Nothobranchius furzeri: one gene and its partners. The protein of the gene in region 2 interacts with the protein of the main gene of each other region in a pairwise test. Links are inferred from orthologs where the notes say so. Each region holds a gene or a part of one and is shown on either strand. Other genes may lie near its edges.

The links.
Region 1: the proteins of tnip2 (region 2) and stk11 interact in binary tests that used the Homo sapiens proteins (3 or more experiments, as listed by UniProt). The link is inferred for Nothobranchius furzeri from reciprocal best matches to the Homo sapiens genes TNIP2 and STK11.
Region 3: the proteins of tnip2 (region 2) and nfkb1 interact in binary tests that used the Homo sapiens proteins (3 or more experiments, as listed by UniProt). The link is inferred for Nothobranchius furzeri from reciprocal best matches to the Homo sapiens genes TNIP2 and NFKB1.

What each region holds. Positions count from the first base shown.
Region 1 is NC_091751.1:56,737,921-56,742,238, forward strand, and holds the start of stk11 (serine/threonine-protein kinase STK11), read right to left. Parts: upstream 2,829-4,318; 5' UTR 2,071-2,828; intron 1,187-2,070; 5' UTR 498-1,186; coding exon 214-497; intron 1-213. Other genes in the region: sugp1 (SURP and G-patch domain-containing protein 1), read right to left, coding at 4,078-4,104, 4,279-4,318. UniProt on the Homo sapiens protein: Tumor suppressor serine/threonine-protein kinase that controls the activity of AMP-activated protein kinase (AMPK) family members, thereby playing a role in various processes such as cell metabolism, cell polarity, apoptosis and DNA damage response.
Region 2 is NC_091744.1:17,107,990-17,112,321, reverse strand, and holds tnip2 (TNFAIP3-interacting protein 2), read left to right. Parts: upstream 1-1,407; 5' UTR 1,408-1,610; coding exon 1,611-1,934; intron 1,935-2,052; coding exon 2,053-2,346; intron 2,347-2,472; coding exon 2,473-2,562; intron 2,563-2,699; coding exon 2,700-2,945; intron 2,946-3,029; coding exon 3,030-3,146; intron 3,147-3,250; coding exon 3,251-3,520; 3' UTR 3,521-4,260; downstream 4,261-4,332. UniProt on the Homo sapiens protein: Inhibits NF-kappa-B activation by blocking the interaction of RIPK1 with its downstream effector NEMO/IKBKG.
Region 3 is NC_091741.1:65,301,389-65,305,036, forward strand, and holds part of nfkb1 (nuclear factor NF-kappa-B p105 subunit), read right to left. Parts: intron 3,040-3,648; coding exon 2,908-3,039; intron 2,824-2,907; coding exon 2,713-2,823; intron 2,522-2,712; coding exon 2,375-2,521; intron 2,302-2,374; coding exon 2,172-2,301; intron 2,098-2,171; coding exon 1,983-2,097; intron 1,833-1,982; coding exon 1,631-1,832; intron 345-1,630; coding exon 175-344; intron 25-174; coding exon 1-24.

The DNA of each region.
Region 1 (4,318 bases), on a different chromosome or scaffold from region 2:
CAAGTGATGATTTGAGCATGAAGTGTTGTTTGTATTGTTGTGCTGTTTTAAAAACCAATATGAAGAGAAGTTAGCCTAATTTTTTAACTGTGTTAACTCAAAATAATTAATAACCCAGCTTTGTAGTAGGTCTGATGCTACGGCGCTGCAAGTTTTTTTTTTTCCAAGAATGACAATCTATAACAGGCTTACAAAAAAATAAAAACAACTTACTTTTTCACATTGGCTTCTCCGTTGGGAATCCTCCTAAGCTTTTTCTTCTTCAGTATCTTCACAGCCCTGCGACAAAGTGTTTCCGAGTCCAGCATTTCTTTCACTTTGCCATAAGATCCTTCCCCTAGCAGATCTCCCATCAGATACTTTCCAATCAGCTTTGCCCTCTTCCTCCGTGGCTGATAGATCACCTCTGTAGAGTCAATGCGGTGAATGAAAGTGTCCATCTCCATAAGTTCGTTTTCATTTAGATAATCAAGATGCTGCAGCTCCCTGGCACTCATGACTGGTGGTTCTACAACCACAGCCTAAGCCTTACGTGCAAAAAATAAACGTTTGAAAACTGGCTATGATTGCTGCTGGGGTGTAATCTGCTGTTAGCCTTTCAGCACTGAACCGAGGGTTTCCATTAGAGAAGTTTTAAAATGCGGAAAATGCGAAGGAGAGAAATAAAGCCTGAGAACTGACGAAAGGTAAGAGAGAAATCTAAAACCTGTAAAAATTAGGGCTCATTTTAGACAGAAACTAAAAGAGGTGCAGAACCTATTGGCTCAAGTGCTAATTTAGTGCTTTAGACTGTGCATTATGAGCTACGTCTTTGATGAGTGCAGCTAAACAGAACTTCAAATGGGAAAAAAAAGGATTCTACACTATTATTTTCTTTTCCGACGGTCTAGGCTATCGTTTTATAGTTTAATACCATACAACTTTAGGTAAAGGAAACCAGTCTTGTTTCAAGGCCTTGCAGCACAGCATTTCTGTCAAAGGTCCTTGCTGGATGTCATAGTTTCCACCCGACACATAAGTGTTTATAGTTGGATTGGATCCAGGCATAAATTGACAACCAAAGCATGCAGCAGTATCAATCCAATCCCTGGTGTCAGTCAGGCTCCAGGGGATCGACTGAACTGTCCACCACGCTGAACTGCCCTCAGGTGTCCTCCATGTCACTACAGTTTCTACAGCCTGATGTCTGAGGAAAAAGGGCAAAAAAAAATATTTAATTATCAGAACAATCACTGATTGTTTTGCAAAATTACATTTGAGTAAAAATCTATTTACACATATTTAAACACCTGGGTAAACATCTTGTGATCAGACACAGGAACATGATCCTTTTCATTAATACAAACAAAAAAAACAACTTTGTCAGAAAGTACTGTGACACAGTTTTGTTAAGTTTTCTACTTAATTGGCTGATCACAACATATTTGAGGGACTTGCTTAAGAGTTTGGGCTTAAAATGCAAAAACTGAGCTTTCAAATAGGTGGTATTCACATCTTGAGAAAGGGTTGAGGAATTACAGCTAGAATCCTCTTGTATAAGGGCTCAAATGTGGACAAAAAACCTCGGGTATTTCTTAATAAGCCGTAGTTTAACAGTAACGTGGGGAAACAACTAAAAACAACAAAAATGTGTGAACACCTTAGAGCTAGCGGTTAGCAGAAAATTTGACTGAATGAATTAGCTTTCCAGTATTAACTTCAACTTATTCGGCGTGCCCCTTTAGAACAATCATGAAAAGTTTAAAACCAAAGTAACTTGTTTGGCCGGTGACCAACTGAGGGGGTGCGGGGAGACTAGCGAAACGTCGTCACACAACTGTAGCTAACGATGAATGATGTGCAGAAGCTTCATCAGACGTTACAATTAACCAACTTCACAAGAAGACGCGCGATATTATCCAACTATATCGCAGTGTGTTTGTCTGATAATAAAACCAAACTCAGTTCTAAAACGTAACGAGCTTTAAATTTCACCAGAAGGATCCAGCTAACACGGGCTAACGGAGACGCTCAGATTCCAATGCAATTTGCTAGCTAGCAAGCTAAGCAGCTACAGTAACCGGCTCTTACCTTAATCTTTATGAAGGTTATTTCTTTGTGAGGCTTAAATACTTTTAACGTGTTCGTCCTCGATTAATCAAACGTTCCGCTTCAGTATAACACAATATCAGTAAAAATTTCCTCACTATTCGTGCTACTCTTGCCTCTCAGGTTGTCGCCATCTTGTTTACCTCCCCCCCTAGCAGCCCCAACACGTTACTGCGTCAAATCAAAGTCCTCCTCCCCACCCCTCCCCTTCTGGAGCAACAACAAAACTGACCTGTCTGCTTTATTTTTACGTCATTAATTCCCTAAAAACGCACAGTAAAGAATACATTATTTTTATTTAAAAAATGAGTGCAATGTAAGTTAGACGAAAATAAAAATAATCAAAAAGAAAATTACAGGAAAATAACATCTTTTGCATATTTTGTTGTTTCCGCAGATTTTTTTAAATTTACATTATTTTCGTATATTGTAAAAAATTACTAAATTATCTAACTTTCATTTTTGTTCCTTTGCAGTTTCAACTATGTGAATTTATGGTATTAATATAAAACGATCAGGGCTTTGTTTTGAAAAATTCATAACATTTTTTCAAATCTGTGACCTTCTTCATAACTCACTAAAGCATAAGTGAAAAATGATAGTTAAAAACTAATAGGACAGTCTTAGTATAATATGGCGCAGCTTTATATTTTATTTTTTATAAATTCTGCAAAACTCCCCCACAATTCGTTCATTTCACCTTTAAAATTAAAGCACCTTTTGTTAATCGTTGTTTTATTTGCAAAAGTAAATGTTATTGTGCTAAAACTAGAGTCAAATAGAAATGCACCGATTCGTGTTTCGAGGGCTGATGCTGATTTCTGCACAGGTCTGACCTGCTAATATCAATTTTGGCATAATCTGCATTATCTTAAAGAACTATAATTACCAGAATTTATTTTATTTCAAGACCAGAAGTAAAAAATTTGGCATGGAAAATCTGTTTGCACTTTATTGCTGTTTAAAAGGGGGGGATCTACTCTTTGGGACTCAAATCAGCTGAATGTTGGGCGATTGGCATCACCAGTCATTTATTGAGTGCACTCCTACTTGAAAGCACTTATTAAAAACTCAAGCACGTTCAAAACCTATAAAATGGTAAAATTAAAGTATTTTTAAAGATTTCAAACTCCCAAAAAATCTCATCGACAATTTTTAGGAACTATTTAGGCAAAATAAATGAAACAAAACGTATCTATTGAAACCTGCATTTTGTAACACTTTAAAACCCAGTGAGTTTGCGCCACCCCTACAACTGATGTTTTTAACTTTATCAACCTCAGATGTTCCTGGTGTGGCCAAAAGGTGTCTCTTGCTTAGCTGGGGTCTCCAGGGTTATATTTATCCCATGTAAACCTCTCTAAGGAATGGCAAACTGAAGGTCTGATTTCACTGGTCTGTTATCCTCCTCACAGGTCGCTCCAGTCCAATCGTCTCTGCTTTACGGCAATGAAGAAATGAAAAAATACCAACGAGAAAAAGACAAAAACAGATTTAGGTTAAATTTTTCTAAAGTCAGCATTTGTTAGGACTTGGGTAACAATTTCAGATTTCAGTAAGATATCTTTTTTATTGTCATCACTGCAGCATACAATGAGAGGAAGCAATAATTACAGCACAGTGAAAACATCACTAGATGCACAAATTACACAGAAGAGTGTGTTCTTATGCAAAACTGTTATATAGTCAGGAGGGCAAAGATTTCTGAGGATGCAAAATGATGAGAGTAAAATCATCACAGAAACTAAATACAAGTTTTTATAAACTGTAACACGTTACATTATAAAGCTGAAATGCAACAAAAGCGTGAGCTGTGTTATTTTTGTTTTGTGGTAAACATAAAATGTAGCTAATCTGTTGTTAATTTTTGGATTTCAATAACTTCTCTGACACGTAGGACTCAAACATCTCCACAGCTAAAACGTTCAATTAATGCGCGAGCAGACAAGAGGCAGATGCAGAAACGAGCTTTAGAAGTGGTCCTCTGTATCAGTAATACGGCCTCCGGGGATTGTTCTGCAGGAAGATAACACAGCAGATTCAAATATAGTATCAAAGGACACTTAAACTCTGTCCACACACAAAAAATTCCTATAATTAAAAATGTGTGGCTGCATGATAACGAGATCCTATATGAAGTTTCAAATGAGTGCAAATGCAAATTAGAGCAACGTTAAGAAAAAATGTTACCAGCGGGTTGGGCCTGAAGCGGTAAGCAAGCATCATCCTC
Region 2 (4,332 bases):
GTTTATGTGAAAATGTAATGGACCTTTGGAGTTTTCCCATCATTAGCTCCTTTTGTAGGGTCACAGGTCAGATTTTCTCCTTTAGGATTTTCTAGTAGAGAGCAGAATTCATGGTTTCCACAATTACAGCAAGTCATCTAGGTCTTGAAGAAGCAAAGCAGTCCCAGACCATCATGCTACCTCTACCATGCTTGACTGTTGGTACTGTGATCTAACAGAAATCAGGCCTGGGTGCAGCTAGTGAATATGAACTCAGCTTTCCAAATAAAGTAGTTAATACATTTTTTTTCATGATCAGAACCAAGTTGGTTTGGATAGCTTTAATAAAAAAAAACTATTCATTTGAAGCTGCATTTTGTATTTACTCAAGTTTGTCTGATATTTAAAAATTTAGGTGTGAAAATAAAAGTGAAAGCAGAATAAATCTGAAATGGGGTAGATTTTTTTTGGCCACAGAAATTTACATTGCGTTTCCTGTAAAGATTAGATCAAACTCGCTATCATAAGAAATGCCTAACAAAAAAAGAGCATGTTTACTGATCTTTCATTATTCAAATAATGTCAGTGCATCAGAAACATGAGGTCATATGAAAGTAATCTCACTGATAACACGTTGCAAAGATTGGTCATGTGTTGGTAGTGCAGTTATGCTTGGATTCCATGTGATGATGAGGTTGGTTTATTAGTGGAACAGGTTTAGTGCTGTAAGAAAGCAGTAATGAACCATACGACCATTAAAAAAAAGACCATACAAAACTCATGTATCAATTTTCTGGTTTAGCCTAAATGGAATTACTCAGATAATAATAATAATAATAATAATAATAATAATAATAATAATAATAATAATAATAATAATAATAATAATGAGCTAAAAAGTATCAAATGCAGTGGGGGAAATTCACATGGACAAAATAATGGACTGTGAGGGGAATTCATATACTGAATCATCTGATGTGATTGGTAGGGACGGGATGTTTGGTAACTGGGAAACTGTACTTGTTAGCATCTATTTGTGTTGCCATATACTTTCAGGTGAAAGCCACCACCCAAATACTGGGTTCACAAAAAATGTAACTTAGATTAGCATTTTTTGTGACTCACGTGAATAATATTCGAAATGTGTAGAGTGGGGATTGTTCTATCAGGTGAACTCGTTTGGTTTGTGCTGAATGTTCTCGAATTTACGACGGCAGTGAATGCAGCAGTGATATCAATTTTCTGGTTGCCTAACTAGCCGACGCTAGCTAGCTGAAGACAGCAAGAAAGGGGAATCGTTTTGTGTTTTTGTACAAACAGCCAGTGAATTTGTGCCAACAGCCTGACAAGCCTCCACTTTTTTTTACCAACGGATCTCGGCAGTGAGTCTTTGAAAGCCAGGCTCCGTTTTGACGACGCTCAGAAAAGTCCGCGGGGAAGTTCCCTAGGAAATCCCCCAAGAGCGTCCGGGGATATTCTCGACACTGATGCGCCAGATCTCCTCCAGAATTCACCTTCTCGGTGTGTTTCTGAAAGACTCAGAGTAAGAGGCAGAGGCGTCAAATGCTGGATTATTAAAAGACTGAAACCGTTTTTCGCGAAATCTACAAATTTTAAGCATTGCGATTGCGATGGATAGCTCGAGTAGTTTGAAGGCGGAGAACGAGGCGCAGCCGAAGGACAAAATGCGGAGCTACAGCGTGTTAAACACTTTGTTTCACGAGACGAGGCAGGAAATCGAGCTTCTCAACAAACAGATCTGCGTAAAGGACAATATAATCGCAGATTTAAAGTCCAGGGTCGGGAGGCATGAGAGGATCTGCATGACGATGGGAGACGACGAGCGGGTGTTCCTCGGTCCCTCCAAGTCTTTGGTGGAGAGTTTACTGAAGGAGCTGTGCAAAATAAAACAGAAGAAAGATGATCTGGAGCTCAAGGCATCCTGTCAAGCAGAGGTAAAAAACCAGCAGCTCCAAAGGAAGCTTCAAATATGTAAAAAGCATGATTTATTTCTGTCATTTTCAGGAAAAAAGTTGGTTTCTCATACTTTCTTCTTTGTGTCCCCCAAACTAGGAGATCCAGAGGTTGAACCTGCAGCTCAGAGAGAAAGATCTGGAGCTGGAGAGCATCAGGTGTCAGCCGGACCACGACAAGGACCAGGAGATCCACAGGCTGAGGACAGCCCTGGAGGAGAAGCAGCGGGCCGAAGCCACCAGGACCGTGCTCTGCACGTCGCTGGCCGAAGAAGCTGACCAGCTGCGGGGTCAGCTCAGCGCCACAGTGAGGGTGTGCCAGGAGCTGCTGGGCAGGCTGGAGAAGAAGGGAGGAGACGGAGAAGAAGTGGAGGAAGTGTCCCAGCAGCAAAAAGTACAATTTCATCTTATTTTATAATATTTTTGCTCAATATATATATATATAAACAATATAAAAAATCAATGCCTTCTTTGCTCTTTTTGAGTTATTTATTAACCCCTTTTTGACTTTTTATTCCAGACGCCCAGCTCTTCTGACCTAAGTGCTGCCAAATCCCAAATTCATCAGCTTCAAGAGGAGAACCAACAGCTGAAGCAGCGCGTAGCTTATGTGCGTTTGTATTTTTGATTTCAACAGATTTCCCCCTATATTTCAGTGCAAAATTTTACTTCCAACCAAATCTGTTATCAGCTGCACACACAATTTCTAATGCTGAGCTTTGCTTCTTATTTATTTCCATTGTTTAGGTACAGAGTTTGAATTCTCAGTGGCAGAAGTATGACTCAAGCAGGGAGGACTACATCCGAGGGTTGTGTCAGAGGCTGAAGGAGAACACCGGGCAGGGCTCCGTCAGCTCAGTGTTGCTTCATCAGGAGATCGCCAGGCTCAACACTTTACTGGAGGAGAAAATAAGAGACTGTTCAAGGTTGGAGAGAGAGGTGGAGGAGATAAGGAGGCAAGGCCAAGAGCGAATCCAGACCTTGGAGCAGCAGGTTGGTATTAATGTAATATTAGCACATTTAAAGTGATCGTAATCGTTTTGTGAATTTTCAAAGTTGTTTTGTTTTCCCCGTAAGGTTTTGATTTATACAGACGACTTTAAATCAGAGCGAGCCGACAGAGCGCGTGCACAGGGTCAGATCGCAGACCTGAAGGAGCAGATTTCTCAGCTGAAGCAGCAGATCCACAAACAGGTGAGGTGTCAGATCGTCATTTAGATGCTTCTGTACAAGCATCCACTCATTTTTTTACTTATTACAGCCACGTGGCTTGACAAGGTGTTTGTAAATCTCTGCAGGGAGCAGGCAGAGACCTGGGTTCTGTGTGCCGTGTTCACATAGGACACAGGATCTCCTCGAGGCGAAGTAAGGACTCCTCAGAGCCTCTGCTAAGGGCTGCTGCTGAAAGGCCGCCGCCGCCTGCAGTGGACGCTGCTGCTGCAAACGTAACAAATTGGAACGAACTCCCAGGTCTGTCGGAACTACAGTGTCCGCACTGCTCCGCCAGGTTCAACGACACAGAAGCTGCAGAGTGCATGAACCATTTTGAAGAGTGCGCCCGGCTATAAACGAAAACCAGTTTTTGATTCTCTACTGAACACTGTAAAGCAGCACTACAATGCAGGAAGCAACCTGGGTGGAGGTTCAGATTAAATAACTGACATCTTGAGATGTGAACATAACCCCAAACTTTCCATTTTGCAAGAGAAAATGAGTTCATGGTTTTAGATCTGTACAAACACCCAGACAGAGTTGTCCCATGGCACTGCAGGAGATTACTGTGTTGGGGAGAGAAGATGCCAATGCAGTTTTTAAAATGTTATATACCTCAATGTCAAATTACAATCTTTTTGCACTTTTTTGTTATTTAGCCCAAAAAAAAACCATTGTGTTATCATAATGCGATTAAAATATTATTGATGCATAAGCTTCTTACTTTGGGTTTATACCTAATTGTTTATGTGGTGCTATTGTTAGTGTTTCTTTAAGTAAATATATTCTTTTAATGACAGATTTAAAAAGTCTAACTATATTAATATTTATTTGTATTTCTCATTGGAAAAGAGTGATTGTTTCAGTGCAATGTCTTGTTTTTATATCCAACTTAAGCCATAAATGTTGTGTAAACATGTATTTTTAAATACATGACAGGCAGAAATAAATATTTCAATCATTTTTAAAGCAGTATATGTAAATAATGCATCCAAACTGACATAAAATCATTTTTAAAGACTTAGTTTTTTTCCTGTAGATGTTATTTTTGTAATAAAACATGTTGTTTCCTATAAATATGATCTATTGAAATGTAGCTTTTGATTGTGTGGTGCATTTTTCATCTGAGAGATAAATCTGCAGCACGTAGCTTCAACCACAGATCGTG
Region 3 (3,648 bases), on a different chromosome or scaffold from region 2:
GCAGCAGTCCACTATGGCGTTTCCCTGGAAACACAAATGCATACTTGCTGCTCTTATTTTGTTAAAATAATACTATGACATTTGATTTCATAGAGGAAATATTTACCACCAAAAAAGAAACAATATGACGGAAACCCCTAAACAAGAGCTTTCATCTGATTGGTCGGTATGTACCTCCAGCAGCAGGCAGCCGGCCAGCGACACGTTATCCATCTCTGTGGCAAGGTGGAGGGCAGTCCGTCCACAACTACGCTCCTGAGCCTCCACATCAGCACCACCCTCCAGCAGCTCTCTGAGAGAGGAAAGCTGATTGGCCAGAACTGCCAGGTGTATGGCACACATACCTGTAACCATAGAGACACAGCACATGAGACCTTGTTTTTCCTTCTGTGTGTGTGTGTGTGTGTGTGTGTGTGTGTGTGTGTGTGTGTGTGTGTGTGTGTGTGTGTGTGTGTGTGTGTGTGTGTGTGTGTGTGTGTTAGGGTTGTCACGATACTAAAATTTCAAACTCGATTCGATACTGGAAAAGAAACTCGATACTCGATTTCGATTTATTGAACAAGTTTATTAAAAAAATAACATTCCTCAATTTATATTGCAAAAATTAAATGTTAAGAATTAAGTGTATTAAGTGCTTAAACCTTTCAAGTATCAGCATTTTTTTAAAACGTGCATACAAAAACTGGCGAAAGTTAACACTTAAAATCATGTATTGCCTCACTATATATACACTATTTGCAGAGTGATGTTTTGCTGCTTAAACTCTGTTTAAGGTGCATTTTTGTCATAAGATGTAATGCCATATGTTTTGTTCTGTACTTTTGAACAATTCTGTTGGTCAATAAAGGGAGAAAACGAATTTCTCCACAGTAGGACAAAGGTACATCTACCGGTAATCTTAATAAAAACAGATTGGCGCACGGCAGTGACGTCATTAAAAGCGCCGGTTAGATTAGCCGCGGCTAGTCTGTTCACGCCTAGAAATCCCAGACTCGCTCCAAACGAACAGGGGAATCACGTTAATGATTCCTAAAAAAAACCTTTCGACATTGAGATGTTTTGGTGCAGACAATGTCTTATTTCGAGGCTGCACCATGGGTGCCCGTCCGCACCCGTTATATGGATATACACTGATGGCGATTCGCCGATGGATCTAAACACCCCGGGGAATCCAAGTAGCACCAAAGTTGTCAACTTGAGTAAACAAACGTACTGCATGCTAGAAATTAAGTCAGGGTTGCAATAAACGGGACTTTTCCTTTAAGCATATATGCGCAAATATACAACTACGTGTCGGACTTGGTATGCTAATTAAGTTGGGCTGTGAAGCGCCTCCCAAATTCGCTGTTTATGTTTTAGTTTATTTATTTGGCAGACAAAACTTGGATCGGAGACAACTTGCGTGGGAAATTGCAATGTAGCCATGCGGCATCTTCTTCTTCTGTTTGTCTGGGAGGCAGAGGCTGCTTTACGGCATCTGGCTGTCGTGCGTGTCGGTGTACTTGAAGAAGGCTGTGTATAATAGTCCATAATATCAATAACACAGGGATGGAATATCTAATTTAGATACCACATTTAGTATTGATTTATATCTAGGTATCGATTTTTTTGACAACACTAGTGTGTGTACCTGCAGAGTTGCAGCACTGCAGCAGCTCTCTTAACTCTCTGCGTCTCAGTAAGAACCCCACCATGCCGCCTCCTTCCTGCTGAGCTGCCAGGTGCAGCACTGTGTTGCCATGGCGATCTGTAAGAGTCGGGTCAGCACCAGCCAGTAGCAGGGCCTCCACTGCCTCCTTCTGCTGAGTAATCACCGCCAGGTGCAAAGGAGTCTGGAAATTGTAGTGAATGTTAAAAGGCTGCTTGAGCTTGGTTACTTTTCTATAGTTTAGATTTCTGCCACTTAGTTGAAATCAGAGAATTTTAGTTTAACTGTGAACTGAATATCCAGCTCTATCCATCAGCTGTTAAAGACTCAGTACCTGGTACAGGTGATTCCTCATATTGAGCACCTCCTCTCCAGGCAGAGCAGACACCACCTGCGTCAGACTCATCAGCGCATCCTGCTGGCTGTGTAGAACAGCCAGGTGCAGCCCACTAACACGAGAGAGAGGCTTTAATTTTACAGAGCAACAGTTACAGGTCAGTGAGTGAGTCTGAATCGGACTGACGTGTCTCCGTCCTCGTCCTGTGCTGCCATCAGGGGGCGCTGCGGAGCCAGCAGGTAAGCTGAATCACCTGTGACAGAGTAGTGAAAGAGCGCATCCAGCTGCCTGCAGGTCACGTCAACCAGCTGATCCTCTACAACACAGAGTACAGATCAAATAAAACATCATAAACTGCAAAAATCACAGCTGATGGGAAAGAAACAAACCTCTGTCTGCTTCGTGCTCCATTCTGACTCTCTCCTCCTCACTCTCCCCCTCCTCCAGCCCTCCAGGCATGGCTGGAGCTCTCGGTCTGTCCCCTGACGAGTCATCGTCTGAATCATTGTCGTCGGCTGCAGTGTCGCTGTCAGAAGCTTCAACACAAAAACACATTTATTTATTCCTTTAGGAACGTATGAAATTCCAGGTGTCCCTGTTTGTGGGAACGCTGTAAAGATCTGCACATTGTTGCAGAAATAAAAACATCAGTCAGTCCTCATCCTTTATCCTCTCCAAGTGGATTGTTTGGTGAAAGGAGGTTTTGAGTTTTGGTTTGATTCCTTACCATGCTTGGTGCCTCCTCCTCCTCCCAGACCAGCTGAGTATCCAGTGGAGAAACCTCCTCCTCCTCCTCCCCCTCCCCCATAGCTATAAGAGGCAAAGCCCTGAAAATATCCTGAAAAAAAAAACAAAGACAATCAGATCACAAACGTTTCTCTGATGAAAACAAAATGGCGCCCTAAAAAGTTTTGGACTTCACCTCCTCCTGTTGCAGGACCTCCTCCTCCTCGGTACAGCCCTCCTCCTCCTCCACCACCTCCTCCTCCGTGACCACTGAAGTCCTGGAAGTTTGGCAATGTCTTCTGCCTTTTCCTCTGTACCTCTTCCTTGTCTGAACAGACACCAGTCTTTGAGCAAGGCATCAACCTCCCATCTCACATTTATGATCAACTAACTCAAAACGAACCGAGGAAGGCTGATCAGGGTGAAACACAGCAACTCACTTTAAAGTCTTTTGCTTTACTTTAGTCGATTTCACAGTAAAATGGTAACAGCTTGCTGCGAGGTTGGCTGCACTAACAGACAAGGATGTAAAATCAACAAAACCATTTTTTTTTTGTCCAAATAACTTTGATGGAGACTGATGACGGGGATGAACTGCCACAATCAATCAAACAGACTAGAAGCCCTCAAAGTCTCTTCGGATTTGCAGCAAAAGTGTTTTTACCAGCTAAGATTAACGTTCATATATTTAATGAGGAGGACAGGGACACGGATGAGTGTGTGTGACGTGTCGATGCTACTTATTGGTAATCCTAATGGATGGATGGATCTTTCACCACGGAGGATCCGCGGTAGCGTTCACTACAGTGAAATAATTATTTACAATTTTATTGCTCCAATGTATGATTACGTGTTAAAATTACGTTATTTCTTTAGTGTGAGCATCGCCGTTCAAAGATCTTCTCATTCCGGTGTGAGAGAAGCAGCTGAACCCGGT